Linked DNA regions of Danio rerio. The protein of the gene in region 3 purifies or fractionates together with the protein of the main gene of each other region. This does not show direct contact. Links are inferred from orthologs where the notes say so. Each region holds a gene or a part of one and is shown on either strand. Other genes may lie near its edges.

Region 1 (11,486 bases), on a different chromosome or scaffold from region 3:
TCAACTGTATGCTATATTTTCGAAGTGAAATGAATTATTCATGAAAGGATATAATTCTCATAGATGCTGCGGGCCTTGTCCACCTCCTTATAGCGCAGCTCAAAGTTGATGTATGAATGCCAGGCCTGCTCCTCCGGTTCCCACTCCATCCAGCGCTCAAACACCTGCCTGCAGCCTGCAATGTTGCCCAGCATCTCCTCCATATACGTGTACTTGTACCTGTGGCACAAACATATAAATAAAACAATCATTCAGAAATGACATGCATTTATTTAGAAGATGATTTGATCTAAAATGTCTTTTAAAAGAAAGAAAACACACATCAAGGATTCAAACAGAAATATAACCTTTGGCCTGTTTACACTTGTTATTAAAGGGATTGCTCACACAAAAATGTAAATTTGTCATCATTTACTCCCCCTTGACTTGTTCCAAACCAATTTGAGGTTTGATCAGTTGAACACAAAAGAAGTTATTTTAAAGAATGTTGCAAACCTGTAACCCTTGACCTTCTTAGTAGGGAAAACAAAGGATCTGGAAGTCAATGGTTGCAGGTCTCCAACGTTTCTCAGTATGTCTTCTTTTGTGTTCAATGGACGAAAGAAACTTAAATAGGTTTGGAACAACTGAAAAATGAGCAAATCCTGACAGAATTTTAATTGTTTGGGTGAACTATGTCTTTAAGATTAAGTTTTGTTGATCCAATTAGAAGTTGACCAGCCTAAATGCAGGTGTAAATTTTGCAAGAAAATAATAATTTGATTTGTGTAATGGGATATTTTATTAATTTCGATGTTCTTAAATATTTGCTAACTGTTTTTAATTGTAGACAGCTTATTTTTTATGTTTTAAAGGCATATCAGAAACATTGGCTCAAAACATTCAAAACATAATTATCAAACAAAACAGTTTCCTTATAAATTATTTAAAAATAATGCACACATACAGATGACAACAATACATAATATGATAACACATGGTCACATAAGATCTTTCAGTTTATCAGAAAATGTAGACAGTTATGTAGTCAAGTTCAAAATGATTCATACCACAGGGAAATTCTGACATGGTTACTTTTATTCAACCAGCAAGTTTTTTTTTTCTTTTTCTTTTTTACCAGAAATGAGACAGGCTTCTCCCAAAAGACAATATGACGATGTACAAGAGGCGTCCTTGCGCAAAAAATAAAATCTCAGCTTTTCTTTACATTTGAACCGAAAAATTTTAGTCAGAATTTGCAAAGGGTAATAATTTTAGGCTTGATTGTATATTAATGTATAAATGCTACATTAGGAACTTTTAATTTATTTTTTACTTTCATTTTTCAATTCTTAAAGAATATTAAATTGATTTAACTGCTTTAACATCTTCTCATTATATTTAACACGAACAATCTTGACCAAAAAGGAGTTTGAAAGAGCATTTGTGACTGCAACTATGTAAACTGCACAAGTTTAATTAACAATATTAAACAAAAAACAAAAAGGTTCAGAAAAAACCTAGACATCCACCCTTCCTCATCAAAAAAGCTGTTAAAAGTGTTTAAAAGTGGAAAAAAACTGTTGAAGTCAGAATTATTACCCCCCCCCCCCCCCCCCTTTGATTTGTTTTTTTTTTTTCCTTTTTTTTATAGTTCCCAAATGATGTTCAACATAGTAAGGAAATTTTCAGAGTATGCCTGATAATATTTTTTCTTCTGGAGAAAGTCTTATTTGTTTTATTTCAGCTAGAACAAAAGCGGTTTTAAATTTATTATGAACCATTTTAGGGTCAAAATTATTAGCCCCTTTAAGCATTTTTTTTCGACTGTCTACAGAAGAAACCATCGTTATAAAATAATTTGCCTAATTACAATAACCTGTCAAGTTAACCTGTCTTAAAAAATATCTAGTAAAATATTATTTACTGTCATCATGGCAAAGATAAAATAAATCAGTTATTAAAGATGAGTTATTAAAACTATAATGTTTAGAAATGTACATTCTCTCCATTAAAAGGAAATTGGGGAAAAAAAATAAACAGGGGGGCTAATAATTAAGGGGGGCAAATAATTCTGACTTCAACTGTAGATGCATCTAAATGGGAATCTGTCTCCCTTATTTATTTGATCCAACTGGCCAAAAAGAATTATAATACCAGGCAATTGTCTAAAAGTATTAGTATTTTGAGATAAAGCATACCAGAACTGATTGACGCGGGGCAGGATGGTAATGGCTCGGTCCCATATGTTGCGAGCGTGATTGACCTGCCGGTTCTTCATCTCCATCTCGGCATACTTCAGCCACAGTGTGATATTGCGGTGATCCACGTCGAGTGCACGCTCGTAGATGGAGCGAGATCTAAAGACAACATCATCATCAAATAGTTTTAAATAATGCCATGTCAGCAACAAATTAATCAATTAATTTCACACAATTGATTATTCATCCTGAAGACCAAAAAACAAACTTCACAGTTCCTGAAATTAAATAAGAATTTTATTTAAGAGAGGAACCTCACCTCTGGACCTCCTGCAGGCTCTCCTCCCATTGTGCGTACTTGATCCAGTTGCTGATCACAGTTCTGTTTTTCCTGATGTTGTCCTCAAAGCCCTGTATTACAAGAAAAGAAAATGTAGAGAAGCAAAATATTCATTTAACTGAGAACTTTTTGAATAATATGTAAAGGGACACATAATATATCGGCAGCCATATGGTTATCGGCCGATAAATGCTATTTTTAAGATTATCGTTATCGATCCGATGTCTAAATTAGGCCGATAAATTACGTTTAGTTCAACTCACAGCGGTTTATCATAAACTTTTCATGATCATTTTTCCCGCAATTGACAGCAAGAACGAACACAGAAGCATTGTCTGATTGACAAGCACTACAGCTATACGTGTTCAAAAGAATCTAAAACGCTAAATAGGATGAATCTATGCCGCATTTTCTAAAGTAATACAACCTGTACTCAACTTTTTGCTTGTACGGTAACTCTGAACTGTCAAAACACCCTTAGAAAAGTTTTTTTTTTTTTCGAACATTACATATTTGTACATATGTACATCAATGTAACACGTTTTATTCAAGAACAATTGAGCTGGTTTCAGTTGTTAGCTCTTTCATTTTCATCTTATTTAAATATATTTAACTTGCTTGTTGATTAAATCCTGTTTTGTTATTTAACCTATTATTTTTATGCAACAGTGAAGTTGCATGTTAATTTGCTATGAAGAAAAGGAAATAATTAATTTTCTTGCATGCTGATTTATGTGAAATCGTGAATATAGGTCTATATAACCACCTTGCAATTTTGAAATTATAGCTTTTTTGGTTTGAGTAGACTTTTCAGTTCATAAGAGCAGTTCAATCTTTTATTAAGTTTAAAAATATAACATTTTTAAACATTTATAATTATCGACCTATATATATCGACTATCAGCCTCCAAGTCTGAAGAGTTATTAGTTATCGATATACACTAAAAAACCCATATCGGTGCACCCCTAATTATATACCACTGACAGTGGCATTTTAACTTTAAGATATTAATATAATTTTATTCTTTTTGACACATAATATACTGATGACATATTTTCTGCAGATGCACTATGTATATGAAGCTTTTAAAGTATGTATCACAATAATACCATGTGTTATTGAGTTTAGTACATGTATACTAGGAGTTTTATAGAAACGAACATCAAATGCGAAACATCAAATTGACAAAACCTTTACACTGGTAACATCATGTTGTGACCAGATGTACCTTGTTGACATAGCATATTCAAAGCATGAACATTAGGGGTGCAAGATATTGAAAAATAAATCAAACATTGACATATTTTGTTTTTCTGTGATAAATAATGCAAAATGAATATAGGTCCATCAGATGCCTTAACTCTATTTGGGAAGTGTTTATTAATTCAGACTGATTGCAATAAAGGATTGAATCATGCATAAAAAAATAACAAAAAATTACAAGTATTGTTACTTTATGAATTTGTCAAACAGCAAACAGGTACAGGAATTGCAAAAAAATCAAATGTAAATAAAACACTGCATCTTCTTTATTGTAAAAATTATTTTAAAAATGTATCTTTATTAAAGGTACAAATGGTCTAATTTCTTGTGCCTGTGTAACAGGGTTAAAATAATGTTTAATTGTCTTTCACCAAAATGGGTTATTTTGTTTATTTTGTGGCTGTTGAGAGACCTCTTGTGGCAACAGTGTGTAATTGTTTCTTTCACCTTTCACCTGCAAAACCCCGCCTACAGCAGAAAATGGTTGCAGAATGCAGAAAGGCGGTAGGTAAAATGTGCTCCAGCTAAATGTGACAAATTTTGTATTTTAACACATATTAATAACACATACAAGCCCAATATGAACATTAAGTGATGTTTTAGATCAAATCTGTCGAGTGATTGCCGTGTGTGACAAACTTTGTGTGGTTTAATTTGCTCATGCTAGGTGTAGCTGGAATGATGACATTAATATGTGCAAGGGTGATTTCTTACTATTTGTTTGGTTTTTTTAGATGCATGTTTAAATGCATACTGTTGCCAGATGATGTATATTTCTGTTACAGGTATGTTAACCTTTTGTAAATAAATAATGTTTTGTTAAAATGACTTTGTGGCAACACAGCAGAAAATGGTTGCTGAATGCAGAAAGGCGATGCATGTTTAAATGCATACTGTTGCCAGAGGATGTATATTTCTGTTACAGAATAAACAACGCAGAACGCAGTTCTCTGTGTCCGCCTGAGTGATTTGCGTCTTCAGGAAGAGAAGCGTTACACCTGGATGCTTTATACGTTCTTGAAATGTTCATACAGCGGCAGTCCATAAAACACAGGCAGACTTCCACTTTATATACATATATAAACTGTCTTCTGGTCAACTATAAACCCAACAAGACATTGCATATCCTCTGAGTTTTCTGAATATGCACTGTGATAATGCCCATGTTTTCTAGAGGTTTACCATAATAAAATAATACATTTAAACCATAGCGATATCATCTTTTATAATCTACACACCATATCAATACCATATTTTCTGAACATCATGATAGCACTGCGCACATTCTATAAGCAATTGTGACACTACTGTATATTTTTGAGGCATATGCCATGACAGAACCAAGCTTTCAGTACATGCACAGTAATTTAGTACTACTTTATGACATATGCATATAGTGACACCATGGTATACTACATGGTGATACAACATTTCATACCTTTCTCTTTTTCAGTTTGTAGTCATTGAGCTCTTCTTTATCGGTGATCTTCTGTTTGGGTGGCGGTGGCAGCAGCTCGAGCTCTCTCTCTTTGGCCTCTCTGAGCAGCTGCTCGGCGGTGATCTGCACCTCTGCAGGGGCTTTATTCTTCACCTGAACACAAACACAAAACCATTACAAAACAAGACAATCTTTAACCCATCTGGTTATAGTTCTATACATTATACAGTTGTTATTTTCAGAGTGGCACAAGTTCACGTTGTTTACAAGCTAATGCTAACTCACAGCTTTATTCTTCACATGAGCATTAATACAAAACCATTACAAAGCAAGACAACCTTTAACTCAACTGATTACATGTATACACATTATACATCAGTTAACTAATTATAAAGTAACGTTAGCAGAACTACATGTTGTTTACATGCTAATGCTAACTTACAGGGGTTTATTCTTCACCTGAACACAAACACAAATACATTATAAAAAAATAAGCTTAACTCCACTAACCACATTTATATACAGTAGTTAATTATTAAGTAACGTCAGCACGACTTCACGTTGTTTACATGCTAATGCTAACTCACAAAAACATCATATAGGTTTTACCTTCGCCACTTTCGGGATTCTCTGTTTGCCCGCCGCGGTGGACGCCATGATTATTACGCTCCTGACACTTTATTAAAAATAAATTAGACGTATGTTCTTGTGTTTTAGATTTCGAAAGCCCGCTAAAACCTGTAAGGTTAGCGACGTTTCAGTGCCGTGTGTGTCGCGCCTGCCGTGACGCGCTGTGACCTTTGCCTGCATCTACGTCACGGAGCATCTCACCATGGTGACAGGACGCTTGCTAGCGGTTAACGTTATCAATAAATAAAAGGTCAGCAGTTTGAGGCTGTTAAAACTCAGTTTTTTATTGTTATACACCAAAAATACCTGTTTAATTGTTTTATGTTGCTTGTGTATCGACTTTTTGTCAATGTAAGTGAATGCTTGTTGTTTTAAAATATTTTTGCCTATTATTGGCTAGTGACTGAGTTCAAAACTCAACATTTTACATTAATAACGTTAACTTACCTCAATTAAATACCTTAAACGTTTGTTATTTATTTGTTTACTGTTAGATCTGTTTATTGTTAAACCGAATTTTCTTCAATGTGTGTGAATGTTTATTTGTTTTTATAAAGGTTAGTGACGAGGCTCAAAGTAAAGTTACATGTAACGTTATGTTATTTAACTTTATTCGCTCACTGTTAGATTTTTTTATAGTCCGACCTATCTTTAATGTAAGTGAATGTCCATTTTTATTAATTTGTTAATTATGTATTGCTTGTTATTGTGTATGAAATAACCGTAAAGAGTTGTTATTTATTTGTTTACCAAAATAAGTCTGTGCGTGCACACAGACGAAAAACATATAACGTACAATTGAAGTCAGAATTATTAGCCCCCTTTGATTTTTTTTCTTTTTTAAATATTTCCCAAATGATGTTTAACAGAGCAAGGAAATTTTCACATTATGTCTGATAATATTTTGTCTTCTGGAAAAAGTCTTATTTGTTTTATTTTGGCTAGAATAAAAGCAGTTTTTATAAAATAAATAAAAAAATAAAATAAAATTTAAGGTCAATATTATTAGCCCCATGAAGCTATATTTTTGTCTACAGATCATTACACAATAACTTGCCTAATTACCCTGACCTGCCTAGTTAACCTAATTAACCTAATTAAGTCTTTAAATGTCACTTTAAGCTGTATAGTAGTATCTTGAAAATTATCTAATAAAATATTATTTACCTGTCATCATGATTAATTAAATAAATCAGTTATTAGAAATGAGTTAGCAAAAACTATTATGTTTAGAAATGTGTTGAAAAGAAATCTGCTCTCCGTTAAACAGAAATTAGGGAAAAAATAAACAAGGGGGCTAATAATTCAACTGACTTCAACTGTATATTACGTCTACAGTTGTGCTCGAATGTTTACATACCACTTATATAATCTGTTAAATGTGAATAATTTTAACAAAAGTAGCAACATAATACAAAATACATGGTAATTTGTAATAAGTATTGTACCATACACTCCTCAAAAATCTTTATTTTATATTCATGTTTTTAATAGGAAGCTGCAGTATTATATTTGTGCAAATACATTAGTCAGTACTGAAGCCAAATCTGGAGCTTATCAAACAAAACAACTTACAATAACGGCCCAAAAACTAGAAAAGCCAAAAAATTTTATAGGAAAATATTAAATACAATTTTTTTTTTCAAAAGAGGAAAAATCAAGAGAAGCAAAAACAAAAAAGGAAAATTTTGTTGAAATTTTATAGGTTGTAATTTACTTTAGCTAAATTTAGCTTGATTTTATTGTATTATCTTTCTATTTCTAAATATGTTTAGTGACTAAAATATCATATTAATAAATATATCTGTTTAATAAATCTGTTTTGTTTAAATGCACCAAAATGCATTGCCTATATTCAATAAGAAATCAAAAATATTAATAAAATAAATAAAAATAAATATTAGTTTTAAATATAAATTTTTATTTAATAAGTAATAAAATATATTGATAAAATAAAATAAATATTAATTTAAAATATATAATTATTTAAATATTTTAATAAATATAAATTTTAAACTATAATTATAAAAATATAAATTTTCTAAATGGGGTGTTCTCAATTATGCTGAGCACTGAACTTGCATGTTTCCTGGAACACAAATAAAGTGCAATTTACCTTGAATTTACTTTGATTCGCTGCTGGAAAGAGCTCAAATCTGCAGAGGAGGCTGTAGAATCTAGGGGACATGGAGGGGTTTTTTTTTTTTGAAGAACAGCAGTCAGTTGAACTGCTCAGAACAAACAAGAGACTCATCAACAACAAAAAAACACTGGTAGATCATTAGGAAACCACAAACCAAACTTTTGCAAGGGGTTATTTTTTAAAATTTCACCTATGTTTTTTTTTTGTGCACTACATATAGACATATTTTATGCAAAATAGCTTAATCAGGACAGTACTTAATAAACAATAACTAGGCCCACACAGAATCTGTGCTTGCAGAAATGTGAAAATTTCGGCAGATTTTTAGTTAATCATTGAGTCTACGTGTGTAAATGTGTGTAATTTTATATTTATTCACTTTTTAAATTAATTTCAGTAATATTATTGACTAATATAAAATTGTTCATTTGATTTATTTACAATGAAGTTTGTAAAGTAATATTTTCCGTCTTTTAGTAGATATATTATATAAGAGACTTGCTTTGTTTATTAAATAAGTGGATTTTGGAAATTGGAGTTGCATTGTAAATGTTAAATATTAAAATTAATATTTAACATTTACAATTTTTTATTTCATATATTAAGTTTTTAATTATGATACTCCCAAAATCGCATAAATCAGCAGTTTTTTTTTACAAAATTCTCTGCAGAAATAGCAAAAATGTCCACAGATTCTGTCTGGTCCTAAAAATAGCATGCGTTTTGTATGATCTCTCATATTTTGTTACAATTATTCACATTTTAACAGATTCTTCAAGGGGTATGTAAACTTTCGAGCACTGTAATAACTGTATAACACAATTTATGTCTGTGTCTAATCACACATGTTCATTGTATTAGAGAAAATGAGCACCATCACTTCATCCACTGGTAAAGCAGAAAGTGTGACCGTGAGGAGAACTGAATGGTCAGATGCTGAAGAGATCAATCATCTGATCAGTCCGGCATCTGTTGCCGTGTTCGGGAGACTTAATGTCATCAATCTCCTGTAAGTAAGAAGAGTCATGAAAACTAATAAACCAGGAAATATTACAACACATATATGGGTTACATTTAAGAGGTCACAAGGCTTCAAAACAGTAAATCACTGAAAATATTATTGATTAGAGGTACTAAATTTTATTAAGGTAAGTGGTTGCAAATAATTTATAGGCTGAATTTAAACAAATTAAACATTACTAAATTTAATTTGTTTAAATTCAGCCCATAGAAATTATTTGCAACCACTTACTTACCTTAAAAATTGTAAATCCAAGAAATTATTTTTTCAGTAGGCTTTCATTTTCTTGCATTACATGTGTTTTTTTTAAGGATCACAGTGGAGCCTGATAATACTCAGTTTAAAACTTTATAATTTTCCACTATACTTCAAACCATTAGGTTTTACCCATTTGTTAGCAAGACATTTTTAAAAATATAATATTGAATGTTACAGGTTAGGTAAATTATGTTATTTCAAAATTCGATAAAAGATACTGAATTTATTTTTTCAACCTTATTTTGACTCTATAGTTATTTAAAACCTTCAATGGGACCTATTATGCCCTTTTTTACAAGATGTAAATTAAGTCTCTGATTGTGTGTACGCTGAAAAAAATTATTCAAAGATGATTCCTCGAATTTACTTACTTTTTTTAGATTAAGGTGTTGTAAACAATTAGTTTATGTTAAATTTAAACAAATAAATTAAGCTGAACATTACTAAATTTAATTTGTTAGTTTAAATTCAACAAATAAATTGTTGCAAAATTAATTGTTTTTCAGAATGTGAAGTTTCAGCTCGAAATACCACACAAATAATGTTTTATAATGCCTTGAAACCGATCCTAATTGGGCCATTTTGGTCACTCACTTTAAATTCAAATGAGATTTGCTTTTTTTCAATAGAGGGTGGAGCTACAAATGCGTGCGTGTCAGCATAGTGGCAGATTAAAAAACAAGACTATGCTAATGAGGTAAAGATTGTCACTAATGGATGGGGCTTTTACCCCCTCTAATGACATGCACATATGGAAAATGTCAATTGAAGAGTTTCGGCAGACTTGTTTTTATCAAGTGTGATTATAAAAAATGAAATTAATTAATAATTAGCTATATTTACGCACTGTTGCCACACAACTGTGTTTACACCCCTTATAATAGTATTTTTTGCATAAAAGGTCCACTTTGAAGAAGATAATTTACACATATATGTAAAATCACTTTAATGTCTGCTACGTTTAATTAAAATGTAATTAATTAAAATAATAATAAAATTATATATATATATATATATATATATATATATATATATATATATATATATATATATATATATATATAATTTTATTATTATTTTGAATTGAATATATATATATATATATATATATATATATATATATATACACATATATATATATATATATATATATACACATATGCTGCAATATTCATTCCTTTTTTTTGGGGGGGAGTTATAATTGGACTGTTTTGCATAAACTGGATTTTTAAAAATATTTCCATATATGATATAGATCATTACAGGATTTTCCCAGTGCTGGGTTGCGGCTGGAAGGGCATCTGGTCTGTAAAACATATGCTGGAATAGTTTGCGGTTCATTCCGCAGTGGCGACCCCAGATAAATAAGGAAGATGAATGAATCGTTACAGGACATGTTTCTCTATTTTCATTGCAGTGAGAAAGCAAATTTAGCCGTGACCCTGAGCTCCAGTAAGAATGAAGTTTTGGCCCACGCATCTTTCTCAGATCACCCAATAGAAGAGCTGGTGGATCAGGCATGCTGGCAGAATCGGCTTCAAAATTACGCCAGTGCAGAGAAATTGACGGTAGGAAGAGTAAATAAAACCTGATGTCCATTAATACTCAAAATGTTTTTGGAGAGTTCCTGAGAATCTTGTTTTTCTATCCTCCAGCCCATGAACACTCTCTTCCTGCGGCTGTTTGTGGCTCAACCTGGCTTTTCCATAGGTGGCGCTAAAGAGATATTCAGGTAAACTACTGTACTTTTTATCTAATATTCTGCCATTTCTTTTTTTTATTTTAGTGTTATATTTGCACTTTTTATAAGCTGTAGTTTTAAAAATAGGGAGCTTGGAGGGAGATTTTTCTCTATTGGGGGCACTAAAGAGATCATGTAAACTACTGTACTTTTTATCTAATATTCTGCCCTTTCATATATATATATATATATATATATATATATATATATATATATATATATATATATATATATATATATGTTATTTTTTATTTTATTTTTTTTTAGATTTTTAGGGTTATATTTGGACTTTTTATAAACTGGATTTTTAAAATTGCGGGGACTGGAGGGACATTTACCTCTAAAAGTGGCACTAAAGCAATAGTGAGGTAAATTACTGCACTTTTTATTGAATTATTCTATTTCTTATTTTTCTTTAGATTTTTAGTGCTATATTTGGACTTTTTATGAGCTGGATTATTAAAATAGTGG
Region 2 (11,403 bases), on a different chromosome or scaffold from region 3:
GCACGAGTCTGGTTTGATTCTTCTGTGTAATGATCTACTTTGTTTTTGTTTCCCTCAGGTGAGCGTTTGTTCCCTCTTATCCAGGCGATGCATCCCAGTCTAGCTGGAAAAATCACAGGAATGCTGCTCGAAATCGACAACTCTGAGCTGCTGCACATGCTGGAGTCCCATGAGTCTCTGCGCTCTAAGGTGACAGTCGCTAACTATGATAAAAGCTTGTTGTTACAGTTAAGCGCAATACAGTTAAGTGCAATAATTGAAAGAGTTATAAGCTGTTAACAATGCAAAGCCTATTGACTGAATGGGAGATTCAATGCATTAATTTATGCCGAGTCTCAGAAATAATGATTCTGAGGGGCAGTCTAAATATGATAATAGTGGACTATTAGTTAACTTTGTGGCTATTAAAGTCATAAATTTATGTGGTTGAAGAGTTAATTTAGTTCAAAATGAAAATGTGTTCTTCATTTAACAGGGTATATGCAGAAACCCTGAGGGTAATTTTAATACCTTTTTAAGACTTTTAAAGACCATCTCAGTAGACCTCATCGCCACTTCAAGTTCTAATCAGTGTCAAACCTTTAACTCAATAAACAGTTGGTAATAAACAGTTGTAGTTAAATAAATCAATGGAGCACAACCATGCAACAGAACTTAGATAAGCTTGGAAGACACAAAGCTTGAAAGAACAAATTACGTGGTTGTTTTCAGTGACAGGCCAATCGCGTGGATAGAGCTTGCCGTTGTTAATATTAGGAGGAAAATAAATATATTTGTGCTTTTTTTACAGTCAAACACTTCGGGTAATGCTTGAACAAAATTTGAGACCTCGTAAAAACGTGATTAAAACTTTTTAATGCCTTTTAAGGGCCTTCATTTTATCATAATTGATTGATCAACTCTTTAACTCTTTAATACTTTTTAAGACCCCACGGGCACCCTGTTTAAGAACCCTCATGTTGTTACAATCCCGTAAGATATCAATATATTAACGACCCAGAGAGATTTCTGTTTCCCCATTGGGTTTCTTCAAGTCAACCAAATACACTCATGTAATTCCATTCTTTTAGATTTGCCTTCATTAGTTTTTGATTTCAGTAGTGCCATAAACCACGAGTCTTCAAACGCATGATTTTACAACATGTTTTTAAACATAATAGTTTAACTAATTTCTAATAACTACTTTTTTATCATTCCCATGATGACAGTTATAGTGCATAATATTTTACTAGTTATTTTGCAAGATAGTTGTATTCAGACAAAGTCCCTTTGAGTATTTTACAGTCTTTAAGTCAGATTAAAGTGTAATTTAAAGACTTTTGTAAACTAGGAAAGTTGGAATAATTAGTCAAGTTATTGTATAACTGGTTTATTGTATAGACAATCAAAAATATACAGTAAATACTTCTTAAGGAGGCTAATAATACTGACCTTAAATGTGTTTTTTTTTATTAAAAACTGCTTTTATTCAATAAATAAACTATAAGAAATAAGACTTATTATGACTCCAGAAGAATTATTTTTGTTTTATGTGAAATACGGTGATAACTTACTTGTCAAATAAATGAACGTGGAAGATTATGAGTTTAACTTATTTAATTAGCTTGTTTATGAAGACTGCAGAGTGATGCATGAAACATTAGACTTTGAATAATTGTTTAGTAGTTTGTGATTCATGTTAAAGTGTGCCCCCTAAAAGAACAAGTGGCCCCTGCCCACCCCCCTAAGTTACGGTGGTCTAGAACCGCCACTGATAAGAATAAACCCCTAAAAGTAATCAAATACCCCCTACCTCCATTATCTCTCAGCTTTCAGCATTCCTTTGCAAACCCAATTCTGCACCTTCAAAACCAGTGCCAGGAGCATTCTGAGGCCAGGCTACACACTGCGCTCGAACGGCTCTCTCTCCTGTCAAGGGGGATAACGCGAGTTAGGGTTTTATTTCCAGCTCAGAGACATCACTGTAATTCATTTGATGGTCTGCAAGTGTGAACTCATGAACAGATCTCAGTGATTATTTGTGTTTTTCAGGTGGAGGAGGCTGTCGCTGTGCTTCAGGCTCATCAGGCCAAGAAAGACGCAACACAGAAAGTGGGAGTCACTGCTGCCACTGCAGCCGCAACATCCTGACCAGTAACGTTCCTCACTATTAATCATTATTATTAGTGTCCAGGCTGTTTCTGGCCGTGGTTAAAATGATTCAGAAAATTTGCTTTAATTTAAATTTGTTTTCCACAGGGTGAAGCTGAACAGCTGAAGAGAGATCACCACTGTCTGGTGTTGTCTGGTGGCAACCAATAGAAACAGAAAACAGAAAATATATATATATAAAAAAAGAGAAAAATACAAAACAATACTTGAACATAAAGAAAACCGTTTTGTTGCAGGGCTTATATTGTTAACTCTGTAATGATTTTTATCACCTGAAGTTGATTTTCAGAAGAGGTCTTTCTGTGAGGAAAGAGCCTCTGTCTTGTAGCCAGGACTGATTTTTTTTCCTGAGGAAGTGCTGACGTGCTTCTTCTGTGAGCTGTGAGTTTGCTGCTTTGATTGGACCTCACTTGTCCCATGACAGTAACTTGAGTGGTGTGGCACTCTAAATAAAGGGATAACTATTTAAAATGAACTTATTTTCTGTGCGTTTCTTTTTTTTATATACATTTAGCCAAGACTAGAAGGCCATTTTTGGTGACAATAATTTTATTTTATTTTTTTATCAAAAATGACCACATGGACAGTTCATTCATATACAGGTTAAATATTCTGCTTAATTGGCCAATGCTGACATAAATATTAATAATATCCTATTTTACTTTTAGCTGATACTAATCACATGACCGGAGCCAATAGGTGTATTCGACTTAAACCACGGCTGCAGTCGGTGATCAAGAAGATTAGCCGAGCGCAGTTGAAAACGGAGCTGTCAAGCCAGACACTTCGGTGCTCAAAGTCGTGGCAGTTATGATAACCGATCACATGGCGTCATCATCATCATTTATTTTTAACAACAAAAGATTTACAGTAAAAATAAAAGAGAATACAGTCTCTACAAACTATAGTTCATTTTTAAACAATAAGGGATTTATGAGTTAATTTTAAGTAGCCTATACAACATTCATTCATTTTTTTTTCGGCTTAGTCCCTTTATTAAACTTATGCAGGATATGTTTTACTTAGCGGATGCCTTTCCAGCTGCAACCCATCTCTGGAAAACATCTATACACACTCATACACTATACGGACAATTTAGCCTACCCAATTCACCTGTACCGCATGTGGGGGAAATCAGAGCACCCAGAGGAAACCCAAGCGAATGCGGGGAGAACATGCAAACTCCACACCGAAACGCCAACTGACTGTTATGAAATTTGTGAGATGAAATTTGTCTAATAATAAACCCAAATCACATGTCGTTGTTGTCCTGCGGTGAATCCAGCCGATCGTGTAATATCGGTGTTGTCATCGCAGCTCCTGCAGTCGCTCTTCAGATACGCCACCGGCTGATTCAATCAACTGATCTCTGAGCGCTGTCGTGGTATTTTGATGCCACATGTGACAGTCATGCACAGTGTCAAGCCATACTAAATTTCTAACCGGCCAAAGAAATGCGCTATAGGTGAATTGAATAAACTAAATTGACTGTAGTGTATAAGTGTGAATGAGTGTTTTCCAGCACTGGGTTGCAGCTGGAAGGGCATCCACTGCGTAAAACATATGCTGGATAAGTTGGGGGTTCATTCACCTGTGGCGACCCCTAATTAATAATGGGGCGAAGCTGAAGAGAAAATTAATGAATGAAAAGCTGTTTTTACCTTATTTTGTGAATATGACGCTTATGTCTCTGATGCTCACACAGTGTGATGTACTCTGAAATACAAATGTGCAAAATAATCATTAAGTCGTCAAAAACAATATTTAAACAAATTTAGTAGAGAGCTTGTCAAATTACAAGTTGAGAAGAAGAGGTCCGCATTAGGAGCAAGTGATGATCTATCTGTCCATTACTGCTCCCGAGTTAGGCATAAATGGGCATTAAATGCTAATTCAATAGTTTACATGTGTCTGTTGCCTCATTACAAACATAAACAGCAAAGTGAATATAATTTACACTAAACCAACAAAAGATACAGTTCAACAGCAGATTAAACATATTCTATTTTTCCTGAATTTTATGTTTAGACAAGCTGTAAATAGATACTATCTAAAGCAGGTCGCACACCAGAAACTGCTCAGTGCCACGCATTTCAGAATTCTAAACAGAAGTTTCTATCAGGGTCTGTAGCGATCAAATATTCCTGAGGTAACTGTCAGTGTTATTCTCTGATTTGCTTATTTTTCTGTTTTTTTTTTTTTTTTTTACCCTGGATTTACATGAGAATGAGGTGTTTGAGGCTCACACAGTATGTTATTTCCATGCATTAAACTTATTATTAGGCCTATTCAATTATGCATATGTATATCCAGATTTTCTTTCAATGGCAACTTTAGTAATATCACAATAGAAACTTTATAAATCATGATAGTACTATTTAATTAACTGATTCACAAAAATGCAGTACCTTTGCGTTAAATATTGGACTGCTTTTCATGCCAATTCACAATAGTGATTAAATAATTAAACTCTTTTTTTATTTGTGATAGAAATGTACGTGTTGCATTAGTACAAGCAGAAAGCACAATTTAAAAATGTATATTTTAATTACAACTATGCACAAATATACATAACTGATATGTACATCACATTCAACCTATTTGCATTCATTAGTCTGTTTAAAAGACGGTTGTTAGAAGTGTGGGCAGCACAAATACAGGGAGAACATTCAAACTCCAAACTGACCCAGCTAAGGCTCAAACCAGCGACCTTTTTTCTCCACTGTGGCGCCCCCGAAGTACATAATGAATCCAGAGTGTCAAAATGTCAATCAGATTTTACTCCAGTTCACCAGAGGGCGACATACCAAACCTCAGTGGTGAAGAACACAGCCTGAAGTCAAAGGTTACACGCAAGATGGCGGCCAGCAAACGTGTTCTTTATGTTGGTAAGAAAACATAAAATTTATTAATTTAACTAACAAACGTTTTGCTCGTTCAGTTGGCTAGTTTAATCCTCTAGCCTCGTACATTTTTATCGACGCAGTACACGTTTTTAGTTGTATCCGGGAAAGCAGCAATTCATGAAATATGAGCAAGAGTTGAGCGCTCAGTCCGTTTAAAGTGACATATCGCACTAAGTGAAACGTTATTATTATTTTCTAGGTGGTCTTGCAGAGGAGGTGGATGAGAAAGTGCTGCACGCTGCGTTTATTCCTTTCGGTGACATTACAGATATTCAGATCCCGTTAGATTATGAGACAGGTGACAAATACACAGAAGTTACATTTACTTTACAACTTTACCATGTGAACGTACGACCGATTTTTACTACCACTTTAACATCCTGTCTTTACCAACAGAGAAACACAGAGGCTTTGCTTTTATCGAGTTCGAGCTGGCAGAGGTGAATATCATATACATCTACACTGAATTAAGTTAAAATAACGCGAAATGTGCATCATCAAAGTGACATTAACTTTGATGCTTTTTATGATTCACTTATTCAAACAGTGTTGCTACTTTATACACTGTACTGTTGTTTCTCTGCATTAGAAGCTTTGGTATCAATTTGTCACTTAATTAAAGTTCTGTCTTTTCCCCTCTAGGATTCAGCAGCTGCTATTGATAACATGGTGAGTTCATCGAATTTGAATTTACTGAATTCTGTGGATTTATAAAGTTCAACACTATCAGGATGTGCAGAGTGGAGGTTTTTATGCATTTGGTAATGTGTTTTTCAGAACGAGTCTGAGCTGTTTGGCAGAACCATCAGGGTGAACATCGCCAAACCCATGAGAATTAAAGAGGGCTCCTCTCGCCCAGGTGATGGAAAATTGATTGTGGTTGATTTTTCTGTTTAATGTCTTGACACATACTCACTGCCAACTTCTGATTTGTACTTTATAAATATATGCTGTTTACACCCATACCTAAAGCTGAGTTCATAAGAATATATATAAACAAAACTAAGCTAAAAGGTATTGATGCTGTAAACAAAAACATCAGAAAACATCTGTTACAATGATATAGCTCATTAAAATGTAGTTTGCTTTCAAATTTTCAGTTAAATTACATATAAGTTTGAATTATAAAAAGCAGGCTCTTTAGTGTTTTTGTCTTTACTCGTAGCAGTATGTGTTATTACTATTATTATACAGTTATTATTCTAAATAACAAATCAATCCTAAAAATGACTGGAAAACATGCAACAACTTGAGTGATATGCTAAGATGAAATGCTAAGATAACATCATCTTGTGTGCTTTCACCATCGTTGTTTCGGTTGAACAGAGAATAACAAACTTGCACGTGCAAAAGATGTCAAAAGTGAATGGCCCCTAACACCTTTATTCTGGGATTGCCACTCTAAATTAATACACTTGCATAAAGTAAATTATGCTGTTCTGCCTATAGTGTGGTCTGACGATGACTGGCTGAAGAAGTTCTCGGGGAAGAAAGCAGAGGAGAGTGAAGAGGCCGAGTCAGCTGCAGAATCAGCAAGTACAGAGACACAAGAGGTCCGAAAGTTACAGTATTGGTTTATTTATTTATTTTTTGGATGGTAAATAAAATAATAGTAATAACTTAACATTGTCATTTTGATTTTACTGTTTATATATGTATTTTTTTCAAAGTCTAATGCTCCATTTTAAATTAGTTTTATCATTATTACTCTATGATTAAGGTTGTCTGCGGGGTCTTAAAGTATTAAAAGTTGGTAAATTAATGTAGAGAAATTTAAGGCCCTTAAAAGTTATTAAATATTCTTAATTGCTGTTTTGCAAGGTATTACATTTTTTAATAATAATATATTTTATATTATTGTTGATTATGCAATGTATGGTTGTATGCCAAAGTTTGCCTGAATTAAATCTGCAAATATCAGGATGCTGTGTAGTTTATGAAATCCTACTAGATTTGACATCATGCAATTTTGTTTACTGCAGTAACCAAGACAACACCATTATTTCTGCAATTCTATTGGCGTCAATCTGCTGTATTAGATAAAATTAATTTTTATTCAGTATATGAATAGTGTTTTAGTTTTAGATTAGTTTCTTACATTAATATTCAGTAAATATTCTATAAGTTAAAATCTCGCCAGTGTTTCCAGTTGAAACCTAAAGTGGTTTCAAGGCCTTAAAATGTATTGAAAGAGTCTTAAAAAGGTCTTAAAAGGTGTTGAATTGCCCTCTGATGCCTGTAAATACTCTCTGATTGGCATTTTATGTTCCTGAACAGGGAGAACCTCCAGCAAAAAAAGGCAGAACCAATCCTCAAGTCTATATGGATATCAAGATTGGCAACAAACCTGCAGGCCGACTGCGCTTCCTTCTGCGAGCTGATGTTGTGCCTATGACTGCAGGTCAGACATATTTAACCATCTCCTGCGTGTGCTTAAAGTCAGCATGGAATAAAAATTCACCAAATTTTTTATATGTATATATTCATGGTGAACCTATTCTAGCTAAAGTAAAAATGCTAGAAAGTTGTCCATGGTGATTCATATAATGCAAATCTATTTATAAATGCAATGCCTTGAGAGCAGCAACAGCACTTACAAATCAACATAATGACATCTACTTTGCCTGTATAATAGAAATATAAAAATAATATATATATATATATATATATATATATATATATATATATATATATATATATATATATATATACACACATGATATTTTTTTAACTGACATTTTATGAATCATTAAGGACCACCATTTTAGTTGTCATCTGTGATGACCAAAGAGGGAGGAAAATAACAGCATTATCCTTTTAAACTCGGTCCTACTTCTATCCCATCAACATTGTAAAAACCTTTTGGCTTGATTTGTTTGTTCTTCTTCAGAAAATTTCCGTTGTTTGTGCACACATGAGAAAGGCTTTGGATTCAAGGGCAGCAGCTTCCACAGAATCATCCCTCAGTTTATGTGCCAGGGTGGAGATTTCACCAACCACAATGGCACTGGGGGGAAATCCATATATGGACGCAAGTTTGAAGACGAGAACTTTGTCCTGAAGCACACCCATGCAGGTGAGTTTAAAAGAACTGTTATGATTATATTATTGTTCACTGCAACAGTCTTAGAATAATCAGCAAGTATGATTGTTGATAGTCACCTGAAATCTGGTCTTTGACTGTGCTCGTAGGTCAGCTTTCGATGGCCAATTCTGGTCCCAATACTAACGGTTCACAGTTCTTCATCACTGTTGATAAGACAGACTGGCTGGATGGCAAACATGTGGTGTTCGGAGAGCTCACAGAGGGCATGGATGTGCTCCGGGCCATGGAGGTGCGTTTCTGACTGGAGAATAGATTTGTAATCAATGTTGACAAAAGTTAGTGGTTAAAGGATTTTTAAATGTTTTGTAATTAGTCTCTAATACTTACCAAGACTACATGTTGTGATTAAACACAAATAATGCATTTATTTTTATGATGGTAAAGCCAGTCTTTAGTGTTGCAAGATCATTCAGAAACCATTTTAATATGCTGATTTGCTGCTTAATAATTTTTCATTAGCTTTGCTGCTTAATATTTTGTGGGAACTGATTCATTTTGAATTTAAAGTCAAAAGAGCACTTTTTATTTGACATTAATTTATTTAAAAAAATTATAATCTTAATAATTTTGTAGCATTATAAATATATTTATTGCCAATTCTGATTTGTTGAAACCTTGCTTTTTTGAAAGTTTTAATTGCCTTTTAGGAAATTCAGACTACATAGTTTGCATTTAATATATTCAAGTTACATTTTGCCCTGTTTCTGATGGCTTTGTATTTGTGCTGTTTCTCAGGCTCAGGGAACAAAAGATGGCAAACCCAAACAGAAGGTCATCATCTCCAACTGTGGAGAGTATGTTTGAGATCAACGTTGTGTGTGTGTGTGTGTGTGTGTGTGTGTGTGTGTGTGTGTGTGTGAGAGTGTGTAAGTGTGTAAGTGAGAGAATGTAAAGAAAAGCTGTTGACATGTTTTTTGTTGTACTTTGTAAATATCTAAATAAATCTTTTTTTTTTTTTAAATACATATCTTTATTTTTGTGCTAAATGGTTGCCATGTTATTCGTTTGTAATTTCAATACTTTTGTTAATTTCTTTTCTTTACAAAACAGTTGTTGAACGGGAAAGTTTATTTTAGTAATATATGAGCAATTCCAGCATTTTGGATGTGACATTTGCAGTAAAAACTCCTAACATAAATTCACAAAGTATGTTAACATTATATTGAAACATCCGTTTATATTTTCCAAAACAACTTACCACAGAGTTATGGGATGAGAAAAATATCAATTTGTAAACATTTTTTTAACTTTAAAATGAGGAAAATAAGCATGCATTATGATTGTGACCAAAATAACTATGAGTTTACAGTACTCAATATACTTTGTAGAAATTCCATGACTTAATCTGCACAACCCAAAAGAAATAATGTCAATCAAAAGGATGAGTCGGCTCTTTAAAAAAAAAAAACGACTTTATTTTAATTTAATTTATTTGACATTTTTGCTTTTACGAGGAAAACGCTTCGTTATGAATGTGACGTGAAATTGACACTTGTGTGATTTTGGTAAAGCCTACACACAAAGTAATAAACCATTTAATTAATCAATTTAATAAATAATTAAACATACATTTGTTAAATAACAATTGAGCATCGGCTTTTGAAGAGGATGCAAATTGAATGAGTGTTGTTCAATAGTTTTAGGACATCTTTGATGAAATGTTCTGATTCGCGTCATTTGTTGGCTCCTGTAGTTCTCAAGGAAGCTTTACTTAAAGTTGCCATATGAATGCTTTGTTTAAATTGTTCTCTAAAATTTACAAGGTATGTGTCTTATAAATGCAAAATATATCTAGAGAGGCTTAACAAGCCCATTTAGAGCCATATGAATGGTCTCTAGAATTAAAAGCATTTTTACCTTATTTGGAAGGGCTGTGGATATTAAAGAGCTCTGCTTTCATAGTTTAATGCACTCTTAAATAACACGTGCAAAATAATTATGCACAAGTTATCAAAAATATTTTAACAAATTGTCAAATGACAATGGTTGAAGTGGAAAAGTTTGACATTGGGAATAAGTTGACCTGTTCATAACTGTTCCAGAGTTGTGCTGCAGATAAAATATGGGCTTAATTATACACAACTAAAGTGTTTCGAAATTAAATAATTGTATGTGTTTGTTGCCTTGTTACTAATGTAACGTTACAGTTGTAACTTAGCCTATTCCATAGACAGCCTCATACACGTGTCTGAAACAAACGGACAGTTTCACAATATACACTTTAAACTAACAAAAGACAGAATACAACAGACCTTATGCCTCATCCGGGTGGCGCAGAATAACTCCCAATCCGTCTTTCCCGAATTTAGCTTTATGACCACGAGCTGTCACAAACCCAACACAAGATGCTGCAGGTGATGTAGCTAACCGTCCTGTTTTCAGAATAAGAGTCCTACTAACATAGGTGGGAAATATAAGCTGTGTGAACCTTTATAATAATAAAATAAAACATTTTATTTTAATACCTAACACTCCTGGGTACATGTATATTGATATTAAAGATTCTGCGAGTATCACGGAGTTTTGTTTGAATTGGCCTGTTTTACAACGGGAATTGACACTATGGAACATAATGCATTACTGATTCATCCTCTAGATGGCGGCATTGCTCCAGAAAACCACGTTGGGTGTGACGTGACTACACAAGTCACGTCACATCCAACAGAGCAGATACAAAAAAGCAAAAGAAAGGCAATTTTATTAAGGTGATTTAATCTTTCCACAAGTATGCTTGTTGTTTTTATGTTAGCATAGTCGATGAGATTAAGGATCTGAGCTTTTAACATGCTGCACGTTTGTTCAGCCTACATAAGGGATTACTTTTCTTTCAGTTCACCTGCATGAGTAAAGCTCTCTAAAAAGTGAAACCAATGAATTGTATGTTCTAATATCTCAGACTCCTTTTTTGTTCAAAAAAGAAAGAAAAAGTGACAGATAAAATGATGAACGAGGAAAACAAAAGATCTTTTATTGTAAACACATAAACATTAGTTTAACATTAAATAAAATTCTAAATCTAAAGAAAGCCATCAAGCCATTTGTTTTAAAGCATAAAAGCTTTATGCACATCAGCAACCAGCAAACAAACACCAACCACTCATATGAGACTGCTTGCCCAGCATCCCAGCGAAACGGCATCCCAATCAATTGAATGTCTGAAGAGTATTTTAGTTATCAGACTTTAAAATAAAAAAAAATAGGTCTAAACTAAAACAAAATGTTCCCATTGAAACTGAAAGG
Region 3 (11,386 bases):
TTTGCAAAAATGTAAAAGTGGGATTGATGTAAATTGTATTTTTGTAACGAATATGAGGAGATAGTTTTACACTTATTTTGGCATTGTACATAGTCAGCTTATGGGGTGAGTTGCAAAATGTATTAATAACGATTCTTTTGTGTTCAACCTCTTTCATTATGGATAAATGTACATTTGGACTTTACTTGATTATCCTAATCTAGAGGGAAAATAGTTTTATTTATTTAATTTGCTTATGTTGTTAACAAAATTGTACATTCATAAATATAAATTTACTAATATGAAACCAGATTTTAAGGTATTGATGACTGAAATATGCTTGTACAATACCAGTATCAACTCTCTAAACAAGAAACTCGACCCACTTTAAAATGTGTGAACTCTACAATGTATTTCATTATTACATATGTTATATTACATTTTGATTATTTGTATTTTATTTATAATTACCCCCTGGTATGTACATTTTTGTATTGTAAAATGTTATTTTCTGTTCTTTAAATAAATAATAAAAATGAATATTATCCACGAGTAGGAGCTAATGTGTTTCCAGACTTGAGAAAACCTCACGAGTATTAAACAACCTGTAATGTATTAACCGATAGCAACTCGCCTGTATAGCTAACTTACCTCGCCATTCACTATATCTGACTCTGAATAAAAAGGAAGGAGGGGGTTAGCACAGTTTACAGACGGGACTACCGACATTAAACTCATCCTGCTGGATGTTAAATAGCCAGGTTAATCTAGCTTACGAATGGCTTGAATGAGCAGATTTTATGCTGTTGGCTGTGCACCTTACTGGAACCTGATGTTGCAAACGCAAACGGTAAGACACGTTTTCTGCACAAACTCTGCAAATCGGTATCATCTTTTAAAAGCTGTTTTATTAAGGCAGTTTTACACATTCACCGAACAACATCTTCTTGTCCAAATTATGGCAAAGTTGACCGTGAGAAAGTCATCCGCTGTCCCGATGCTGTCATGTCTCTGCGACTCATAGCGAACCCGGAAATATCGATACACTGCTTCGAAGGGCGCTTCCGGTGTTCAATTCCGCTGTGAAAAAGGTCTATAAACATCTGACTGGCAAAAAAGAGGCACGTTTCAGCATGTCATTTCAGTTATTATTTTTACATAGCATTTTATTATTTTTTCAGCCTAATATTTATAGCCTTTTAATAAGAAGTGCATAATGCCCAAATATAAAACCTTGATAATCAGAAAAAAGTCAGTGCAGACTTTTACTTAATTTTGATGACTAGTGTTGGGGTAACGCATTACGGGTAACGCGAGTTACTTAACAGTATTACTTTTCTAAGTAAGGAGTAAAGTAAGGCATCACAATGAATCACGTAGTGAAAGGGGGATTGTGTTCATTATTTTTAACGCATCTAAGAAAAGGGGGACTGTCTCAATGGACAGTGATTTTAGGCAAATACATTAGTACAAAAGTAGCAAATATATTGCTTTAAACTGTCTATAATCTGTAAACGGCATATATACAGTAGCTCTGAGGTAAGGAAGTTCTCAGATAATATTCATTCATTTTCTTTTCGGTTTAGTCCCTTTATTAAGCTGGGGTCGCCACAGCGGAATGAACCGTAAACTTATCCAGCATATGTTTTACACAGCGGACGCCCTTCCAGCTCTGGGAAACATCCATACTCACTCATCCACACTCATACACTACGGACAATTTAGCCTACCCAATTCACCTGTACTGCATGTCTTTGGACTGTGGGGGAAAACAGAGCACCCGGAGGAAACCTTATCCTAATAATTATAATATTATCCTAAAATATTTTTTAATGTTTTTTTTTTTAATAAAAGTAAATGAAGGTGTAGTTTATACATTGTGTTGTTAGTTGCAGAACTCCTATATTTAAAAATATTTTCTACTAAAACTGAATTGAGTAGGGCTCGGGATATTAATTGTTTGGCAAAATAAACATTTAATCAAACAAAACAGGATTTAATTTTGAGCTGAATTTCGTTTTCAGCCAGATAAGCAGATGACACAACTTTTAAAACACTACCCTTTATTATTATCATTTTAAATGTAGATAAGTACGCATGTAATATTTTAAGCTCACTATAAATCAAAAACAAGAAGGCCTTTTTAAAAGACAGAAGCTGCGTCCCAAATCGCATACTTATGCACTATTCTACGCCATTTTGTAGTATAAACAGTGTAAGTAGTGTGTTCACACTGAAAACTCTAAAAATCATAAGTGCACTTTAATTACCCGGATGATGCACTCATTCAGCCGCTAAAATGAAGTGTGTAATGATGGACACTTCACGCACTCAACGACCGCAGGTTTGCATACGTAGCGGAAGGGGCGGAGCTATCGGACGCACATGTTGGATAACTTTATTTTGGATGGTGAAAGCAAATTTCTCCAACGAGAGTGATTATAGCGCCTCCCGATGGTGAATGCGGAAATACTCATGGCAGGTATTATTTGATAATTCTGTTGTTTATTTCACTGATTTGGCAACCGTCAAACGTCATTAGGGAAACGGTTTGAATTTCCGCTTAGTAAAAAAAAACATTAGTGTGCCATTTGGGACACCACTTCATACATATACTATCCTGTTGAGTGTGTAAGTGCATAAGTACATAGTGCATGAGTGCATAGTGTATAGTGTGCCATTTGGGACGCAGCTAGAGAGTTTAATTTAAGATGTATGACATAACAAAAGCAGAAACGATAGCAAAAAACTGCAGGACATTTCCACCCCATCACTTCCTGTAATAAAAGTTTTTATACAACATTTTCACAATGGTCCAATACACTGATCCTGTGTGCTGTTTAATTCAAACATTAAAACAGAAAAGAGGTCCCAAATAAGGATGTGATTCGTGTGTGATAAAAAAAAGTGGTCGTAACATCCTGTTCACTTGTTTATGACCAGACTTCTGCAGAGAAACAAACTGAATTATTGAAAATCCTTTCCCTCTCAGCGCTTTAATCAACATCCACTGACCAGACAGATGTGCCGTCATCCGATTCTGTGACACACATGACTCGTCCACAGAATCTGGACAACAGTTGCTCTAATATTCTTGATAACTTATGAAAAAAGGACTGTTTGGCCTACAACACAAGGCTAAATATCCAATTATCATACACAAATGTACCCAAGACTCAATGCCTACTGAAGCACATACAGAAAACAGATGTATATAAAAATGAAATGCCTAGCAAAAAATAAGGGCAGTTTCAATTTTTGAGGGGAAAAACTACAATAAATTTAAGCATGTGGTGCAAAAGAACAGGGAACATTATTTTCGAGTCTTTTAAACACATTTTTAGCTTCTGTCCATGTTATCCTCCACTTTGCTAGCAACACAAATTTGATATTTTGTTCAGCATCAGTATCAGACATTTGCAGTTCATGAAGACCTTCTGAGAAGACGCTAGCGTCGTCTGAAGGCTCTGGAGATTCTCCAGGCGTTTGGTTCCTCGTAGCGGTTGTAGAGAGGCTCCAAGCGCTGCTGCTTCTTCTGTTTGCTGAGGCGTGTGGGATCAGACACTTTGAAGAAAGCTGGAGCGAATTCTACAAGCCATCTTGGATCGATGGTGGTCACTTCCCTCATGTATTCTTTAGTGGTTAGCACAAGCTCATGGTACACCACCCTGAGAAGAAGGAAATAATAGTGAAAAACATGCAATATTGATACTAACTGTGTAGTTAATACAGAAACAATCTCATCTTGTAAACGTACCATTCTGGTTGGCGGTTGAACAATGCGCTGGAGGGGTGGATGTAGACCACCTGCTGGTCTATGAGGGTCCTGTAACCTTCTTGAGGATCCTTTTTGGCTGCATTCCGGAAGAAACCACTGCAGATGGCTTTCTGTACACGCACAGTAGCCTTACCGCACGATACCACATCCAGTTTGTGCCTGAAAACAAAAATTTTATGTGTAATTATTAACAAAACGTAAAATAACTGAAGTCTAAGATCTCTGAATTATAATTATATGTATTAATAATTGTATTAATTCTTTGTGGATAAGAAATTCCACAATGCAGGTGTTAAATTATGCTTGTGTTGTTAATCGTTTCAATGTTTTTCCTATTGTTTTTTGTGCCTTGATTCCTCAGATCAATGCTAACGCTCAACATATGTGGCGCCACCTGTCAGTGGTTATTGGATGCGCAGCAGGCGTTGCTTTTAAAATGTCTCTTTATTTTTTTTGTGACTTTTAGCCAGTTGATTAGTTTCAGATTTCCAAACCAAGATTCTTGAGGTCACGTATTACCAATTTTGTGAAGTTTTTTTCAATGTTGTTAAACAATTAATATGTGGTAAATCAGAATCAGGAAGAGCTTTACTGCTTGGTATGTGTACACAAAGAGTTTTAGTTAGTTAGTTTAGTTAGTTTTAATGACAGAAGTCTACACAGTGCGACAAAGACAGTTACAGGACAAAGACACAGATAATAAAGAAATAAAAAATAGGAAAACACAATTTTGACAAATGTGTGTACAGTGTATTAATATATACAATAATGTAAGTATAGCTATATTTTTTGTGCAAATAAAAATTAACAATAAGTGTTGTTAAATAAATAGATGTACGTGTGTATAAATATTGTGCTTCTCAAAGTAGGAGGGAATGATCCTTGTCTGTTTTTGTAAAGAATAGTGAGGTTAAGCGTAAATAATTTTTTCCTTCATTTTTTAAAAAAATGGTTTCATTAATGTTTAATTAAAATAACTGGTTTTCTAGACTGATCTCATTTTATTATTTTGGGCCATGGGTTTCTGTCAAGTTTAATATCACTTCTCTTGATAATGTTTTTAAATGAAACTTATTAAATGCGTTTTCTTATTAGTTTTATTTTTGGTAATGAAAGTACTCAGCATGTTTCACTTCACTGACATTAATTCAATTAGTTAAGTGGCTTTAAAATACATGTCACAGTACAATATAAATGCTAAAAAACTTTGCATATTCTGTATGATAAAAGTATTCTTTTATAAAAACGAATTACCTAAAAAATGTAAAGTGGTTTAATCTGCATTGTCATGTGTAGACAGGATGTTAGAGGCTGTGATTATGCAAATTGCCGCATTTTTAAAAGCTAAAAAAAATATTTATAATATTAAAAGCCTATCACAATCCAATTTATTTTAAAAAGCACAACCAAGCCTGTATAAAGTTCCAATCCCCTCACCTGTCCATGATGCCCAGCATCTGTTTGCGGATATCCTGTGCACGTCGAAGAGATCGGGCTTGAATGAAGTTCTCGTAACACCAGGGGTTAGAAAACTTGTTGTTCTTCCAGGAGTTATAGACAGCCAACAAAGTCAGGTGGTCTCCCTCAGGCTGGTGAAACTTGGCCTTCTTCTGGTCTGCCAGAGCTTGTTTGTCCTGAGATTGAAATCATTTTAGGATCAGTCTACTTGGATACCTTAAACTCTATGTAATGATATAATGTCAAGTTCACAACAAACCTGACAAGAGCATTCGAATCACATCAATTACTCTAGGTCAGTTGCGGGATGTTTTTCACCTCACTAATTTAAATGTTTTTTTTTAAATGGCAGAGAAGACATGATTAAGGCAAATTTATGCGAGATCGCAGCAAACGCATTGCAAAATTGGTCTCATCTGCACTGCTCTGCAGAAATTCACTTCTAATCCCGTGTTTGCATTGACTTTGTATGTAATCTACTCATGCATACACGTTTGGTATGAATTCACATTTGGTATGAAGCCAGCATAACTGTGCTTAGCGCACTACACCTAGAACTGTGTGTGAGCTAAAATAGTACCTTTGGTCTGTAGAAGACATTCTGTACTGAAAGCATTGACACAATGGTCAGCATCTCTTCACTGCAGCCAAGATGGACAGACATGATCAACATCTTACAAAGCATGGGCTCCAGAGGAAACTCAGCCATCTGATGGGAACAGTGATAAGAAACTTAATACTGTATTCTGCAGATTGAGCAGCTACACCCAAAACCATGATAAGAGAACATTCCTAAGTTTCAGCAAAGAAAATGTGCACACTTACTCTACGACCAAGGCGTGTGAGTAGACCTTCATCATCCAGAGCGCCCAGAGTGTACAGCTGCTCCATGGCCGTGATGAGTGTCTCCATAGGTGGAGCATCCATAAAGTCAAATGACAACAGGTCATTGATGCCCATAGCCTGATTAGAGGACAGAGAAAAAATGTAAATATATAAAAAAAGTGTTTTAATCAATGTCATTTTTACAGCATGTTTCAGATTGCAAACAAACAAATTACATTAATAATTGTGATGAATGAGAAAGAGACAGATGTGATTTGCATAGCCATTTCTCAGTACTCATATGCCATTCTGCACTTATATGCATAAATGAACCAGACTAAAAATGCAGGGCACCAGGTTATGAAACAAATGTTCAAAGGTAAGCAAGGTGTGTAAATGCTCCAATTAGGCATTATGATGCAGCAAAGTTTATCTTTAATCATTCTTTAACCCTGTTGTTGTCTTCGAACTCTGTATAGACCACAAATCAAATCTTAAAAAAAAGAAGAAAAAAAAAACTCATTTTCATCACAAACCCTGTGGATATCTAGGTTTGCTCTCTTCAGTGTGGAATTTTTCATCAATGTTTAATCATTGGGCAAAACTCTGAAGTAAAGGGAATATTTTTAATGCTAAAAGTACCTACATGAGTGTGAAAAGTTTAGCAAGACAGTAATAGTAAAAAGCAGGAGATTCTTGGTATTGGAGTCTGCATGTGTGTGCCAGTAGTTTTTGTGGTGTACAAATTGACCTGAAAGACAACTGTTGTACCCTAAACATGTACATCCTTCATGAAAATGTAAAGAAAATAAATAAAGATAAACTGAAAATGGAAAAAAATGGATCTGTAGGTTAAGAGGGGAGTTAATGTAATTTAAAATGTAATCAATTTAAAAAACACTGTTAAATATACCCTTTAGTAAGCATCAAGACGGAAACCTCTAAATTTATTTCACATAGATTTTAGTGATCTATTTACATGAACAGTATAAAATCTTAATATTTTGTATTATTGGTTATAACCTTACATTTAGTACATATCTAGAGGTGTGAACCTACACTGGTCTCACGGTTTGGTTCTGGTTATAATTATTATGCTATCGATTTGGTTTAATTCGATCTCTTGAACAGCATGAGCATTAATAGCAAATAAACAAATGTAAACATCCAGCTCGAGTGTTGTCGAGCAAGTTCTTACACCCAGGGCTGCGATTGGTTCAAACGATGTTCACCGATGAGCGACACTGATAAACAGCAGCTGTAGATGATGCATGATTGATGCGGGGTTCTGAAGACACACTCCAGTGTGAGTGAAAGACAAATGCACACATAGTGAACTGTGCAAAGTTTCTGCGTTTTAAGTCGTTGAAGTGTTTTAATTACTCATGCTCACCTCACCACAGTAAGCTATCGCAATAAAGCACATATGAGGTAAATGACATCAGTACAAAACTGTTATGATCCATTACTGAACCGATTCCGAGTTGCACCAAAGAAACAATTAATTTTGACACCCCTAGTACTTACATATACTAAAATGTCTAAATAAAACCATGTTAAAATATAGTGTAACATGCTGTAATATTTTTGTGTGGAACTATACCTTGAGAGAAAGTACAGTGCTGGCCAAGTTGGTTCTCTGAATCTCAGGTACATTGGTTGTGAGCATCTCATCCCTGTAGGCACGTTCTGTGTAGAGTCTGTAACACTTCCCAGGGCCTGTTCTTCCAGCTCTACCTGCTCGCTGCTTAGCTTGAGCCTATGAACCATAAACATGAGGTTTAGGAGTCAAGTACCTTCTGATGAAAACAGCATGTAGACTGGGTTTATTGTAGTGGCTGATACCTGTGAGATGGGGGTCACCACTAGCTGATCAATGCCAGTTTTAGAGTTATACACCTTCTGCTTGACAAAACCTGGATCCACCACATAGTAGATCCCATCAATTGTCAAAGAGGTCTCAGCAATGTTGGTAGCAATGACCACCTAAGAACAGCACAGAAAAAGCAGAATGGTTTGTTAATGTGAATTAAAATCATGTAATTAAAATTTTCTGGGAATTCTAGATTAATGTTTGAGGTGACCAAAGAAAGGAGAAACAACAGATGGTACCTTTCTACTTCCAGGTGGTGCTGGGTCAAAGATCCTGGTCTGCATTTCACTGGGCAGGGCAGAGTAGACTGGGAGAATGATCAGCTCTGGAACATCAGGACCGAGAGATTTCATTCTTTCATAAAGGATCTCACAAGCCGTGTCAATCTCCTCCTGACCCGTCAGGAACACCAAGATATCACCTGCACAATGAATAATTTTTATTAATTGGAACTGTTTTTCAAATTTAATAATTTTGTTTTGTAGAATTGTGTTTGAAAGCTTACCTGGAGGTTCAGTGAGGTGAATCTGCATGACTGTGATCAGACTGGCATCCAGATAGTCAGTTTCAGGTTCTTTTGTATACAAAACCTCTACCGGGTATGTACGACCAGGGATTGTAAAAATAGGTGCTTCATAAAAGTACTGTGAGAATTTCACGGCATCCAGTGTGGCAGATGTCACAATGAGCTTCATGTCAGTTCGTTTCTGTACAGTCTAAATAATCAAAAAAGGAAAGAAAAACAAGACAGTGTAAAATAAAAGAAAGTAAAAGAGTAATTTCCTTAAAAAAACACTAACAATAGTTGGTATTTTAAACAATATTTTAAACAATACTCCAACATTTAGAATTCTGAACAGTATAGAGACTGACTAACAAAGTCTAAAATGTGAATTGTACCTTCTTGAGAAGGCCGAAGAGCACGTCTGTGTGGATGGTCCTCTCATGGGCCTCATCCAGCATAATGATGGCATACTGGCCCAGATCAGGGTCAATAAGACACTCTCTTAACAGCATACCGTCCGTCATGTATTTAATGACTGTCTCAGGACTAGTGCAGTCCTCAAAACGGATGGTGTAGCCAACCTGTGCAGGCACAAAAATGAATGCTCAGAACGTTATATTGAAATGTTTGTAAATTGTTGTCTATACTGTCAAAATACTTGTAGTATAAACTAGGGATGAGTAATGATTCGAATTGTCCCAAATTTATTCATTGAAAACTGGCTAGCAAAGGCTATTGATATTTCTAAAAGGGATCACAGAACACTTTATTTTAGGCATACGGGTACAAGCATGTACAGTTGAGGTCAGAATTATTAGCCCCCTGAATTATTAATCCCCGTTTATTTTTTTCCCCAATTTATGTTTAACGGAGAGAAGATTTTTTTCAACACATTTTTAAACTCAATAATTTTTATGACTCATTTCTAATAACTGATTTATTTTATCTTTTCCATCATGACAGTAACTAATATTTGACTAGATTTTTTTCAAGATACTTCTATACAGCCTAAGTGACATTTAAAGGCTTAACTAGGTTAAGTAGGTTAACTAGGCAGGTTAGGGTAATAAGTAGGGGTGTAACGATATTAAAACCGAACCGAAATATCGCGATACACCAACCACGACACGTATCGCGAAACTCTCGTGGCGTACCGCGGTACTCTCACGCCCCCTGCTGCCCATTGTTGAGGTTGACGTCACTTGTCTCTAACTAATTGAACCAATTTAAACACATCTTTATTATCATATTTGATTAAATTGTTTTAGTAATGATGAGGATTTGTTCTAAATATTATATTCTAAAGTTAGTATTTTAGTGCATGTCATGTCATGTGACTTGAGTAAGCATCCCACTCGTTACTACTGGACGCAGGATGGCTGCTTCACATAGAACTGAGATTGCAGATCCCCCAGACACATTTAAGTCATCTGTGTGGAAACATTTTGGTTTTCCAGTTGAGTACAGGAATAGAATTTGTGTCGTAGACAAAGCCTTACTTGTAAGGAAAAACATTTAAAAAGTGTGGTAATTTCACAATGTGAGGGTGTAAGCAACAGAACTGCCAACAAAAGTGATTTAATGTACAAAAGTAAAACCAGAATAATGCCTGAATATACAAAAAAAGAGAAATATTTACACTAATAAAAATAATATAATAAAGTAACAAATTCAAACAAAAGTATCAAACAAAAATTAGTTAAACTCGAGCAAGGGGGTGATAGTGAAGACAAACAAAAGAAATAAATATAATAAAACAATTCTAACTCATGAATGACCCCTCTTACCTCGCTAAAACTGATGAAAAGAAAAAAAAGGTCTTCAGCGCCGTGCGCCGCATTCTTCCATATACTGAATAAAATAAACAAAGATAACCTTCACCTCTTACCTGATGTCTTTAACAATACATTTTCTACGTGTTTGCAAAATAGAAATCGTATGACATTTTCCCTATCCACCTTACACTAAGACTGAACTTGAGGAGATACAGCTATATTGTCGGGAAGGAGCGGAGCTAAAAAATAATATACAAATCAATTGAAATAAAAATGTACAAACCTCACAAAATTTCTTAAAGTGGGCAAAAGTAATGCAAAATAATTTTACCCAAACGAAAGTTAAGCAAAAACAACGAAAATCATAATCATGTCAGAAAAATACACGAAAAACGAGATCAAAGAAAAAAGGGTTCTCTCTCCCACTCTTCCTGACATGCTTTTTACATTCCCGCGCTGCGTCGACAAATGATGATCAAACATCATTTGACCAATCAGCTGTCAAAAAGGCGGGCCTACAGAAATGACAGGCATCAGCTGTCGTGAAGGCGGACCTACATAAATGACCGGCATAGAGGGAGCGGGAGAGAGAGAGAGAGAGAGAGAGAGAGAGATCGGGAGGCAAACATACAGCCGGCTACAACCCTAACATTAGTTTCAGACACAACCGCAATGTATTTTACTGGTGAATATGTCATGAAAAAACACTTTACAAACACATTATATGTATATTTTTCATTAATTTAAACGGAAACCTATCTATCTAAATGAAACCATATAATCAAAAATGAGCGTCTGTGTCAGCACAGAGATCAAGCCTCTCATCGGAGAATGTGGATATTATGGTGTTTTTGAAGAAGATCTTTCACTAGTCTACACTGCAGTTATTTATTTAATTTTAATTTACTTAGTTAAGATGGCTGCAATAAAGAGAATAGTTTTTTTTTCTGACTAGTCTATATTGGAGGTATTTATTTAATTCTAGTTGTTTACTCGGGTATCCTGACTGTACTAAAAATGCGATGACAAAGTTAATAAAGAAAAAGGTAAGATGTTCTTGTTATTAAGTGAATTGTCCCTTAGCATTGCTGTTAGCATGACATCAACCCTAACCACAGCAAACAGAAACCGAACCGTACCGAACCGAACCGTGGCTCCAAAACCGTGAACCGAACCGAACCGTGCCTTTTGTG

What was found. Proteins that work in one complex are often made in the same cells at the same time.
Region 1: the proteins of dhx8 (region 3) and crnkl1 purify together in Homo sapiens (affinity purification with mass spectrometry; 3 studies listed by BioGRID and IntAct, counting the BioPlex papers as one, with this or other methods). This does not show direct contact. The link is inferred for Danio rerio from reciprocal best matches to the Homo sapiens genes DHX8 and CRNKL1.
Region 2: the proteins of dhx8 (region 3) and ppie purify together in Homo sapiens (affinity purification with mass spectrometry; 3 studies listed by BioGRID and IntAct, counting the BioPlex papers as one, with this or other methods). This does not show direct contact. The link is inferred for Danio rerio from reciprocal best matches to the Homo sapiens genes DHX8 and PPIE.

The regions. Positions count from the first base shown.
Region 1 is NC_133195.1:52,270,819-52,282,304, reverse strand, and holds the start of crnkl1 (crooked neck-like protein 1), read right to left. Parts: upstream 5,931-11,486; 5' UTR 5,880-5,930; coding exon 5,832-5,879; exon of another isoform or gene 5,376-5,831; coding exon 5,223-5,375; exon of another isoform or gene 4,519-5,222; intron 4,289-4,518; exon of another isoform or gene 4,257-4,288; intron 2,592-4,256; coding exon 2,500-2,591; intron 2,340-2,499; coding exon 2,181-2,339; intron 220-2,180; coding exon 53-219; intron 1-52. Other genes in the region: cfap61 (cilia- and flagella-associated protein 61), read left to right, coding at 8,862-9,004, 10,692-10,851, 10,930-11,006. UniProt on the Homo sapiens protein: Involved in pre-mRNA splicing process. As a component of the minor spliceosome, involved in the splicing of U12-type introns in pre-mRNAs.
Region 2 is NC_133192.1:26,689,586-26,700,988, reverse strand, and holds ppie (peptidyl-prolyl cis-trans isomerase E), read left to right. Parts: upstream 1-4,992; 5' UTR 4,993-5,008; coding exon 5,009-5,039; intron 5,040-5,256; coding exon 5,257-5,355; intron 5,356-5,453; coding exon 5,454-5,497; intron 5,498-5,699; coding exon 5,700-5,726; intron 5,727-5,834; coding exon 5,835-5,916; intron 5,917-6,506; coding exon 6,507-6,610; intron 6,611-7,334; coding exon 7,335-7,458; intron 7,459-7,947; coding exon 7,948-8,133; intron 8,134-8,219; exon of another isoform or gene 8,220-8,249; coding exon 8,250-8,392; exon of another isoform or gene 8,393-8,404; intron 8,405-8,898; coding exon 8,899-8,967; 3' UTR 8,968-8,993; exon of another isoform or gene 8,994-9,025; 3' UTR 9,026-9,124; downstream 9,125-11,403. Other genes in the region: pabpc4 (polyadenylate-binding protein 4), read left to right, coding at 59-189, 2,032-2,130. UniProt on the Homo sapiens protein: Involved in pre-mRNA splicing as component of the spliceosome. Combines RNA-binding and PPIase activities.
Region 3 is NC_133187.1:29,418,608-29,429,993, forward strand, and holds the end of dhx8 (ATP-dependent RNA helicase DHX8), read right to left. Parts: intron 9,000-11,386; coding exon 8,814-8,999; intron 8,630-8,813; coding exon 8,419-8,629; intron 8,335-8,418; coding exon 8,153-8,334; intron 8,027-8,152; coding exon 7,886-8,026; intron 7,800-7,885; coding exon 7,644-7,799; intron 6,179-7,643; coding exon 6,041-6,178; intron 5,925-6,040; coding exon 5,796-5,924; intron 5,392-5,795; coding exon 5,195-5,391; intron 3,917-5,194; coding exon 3,737-3,916; intron 3,648-3,736; coding exon 3,428-3,647; 3' UTR 2,669-3,427; downstream 1-2,668.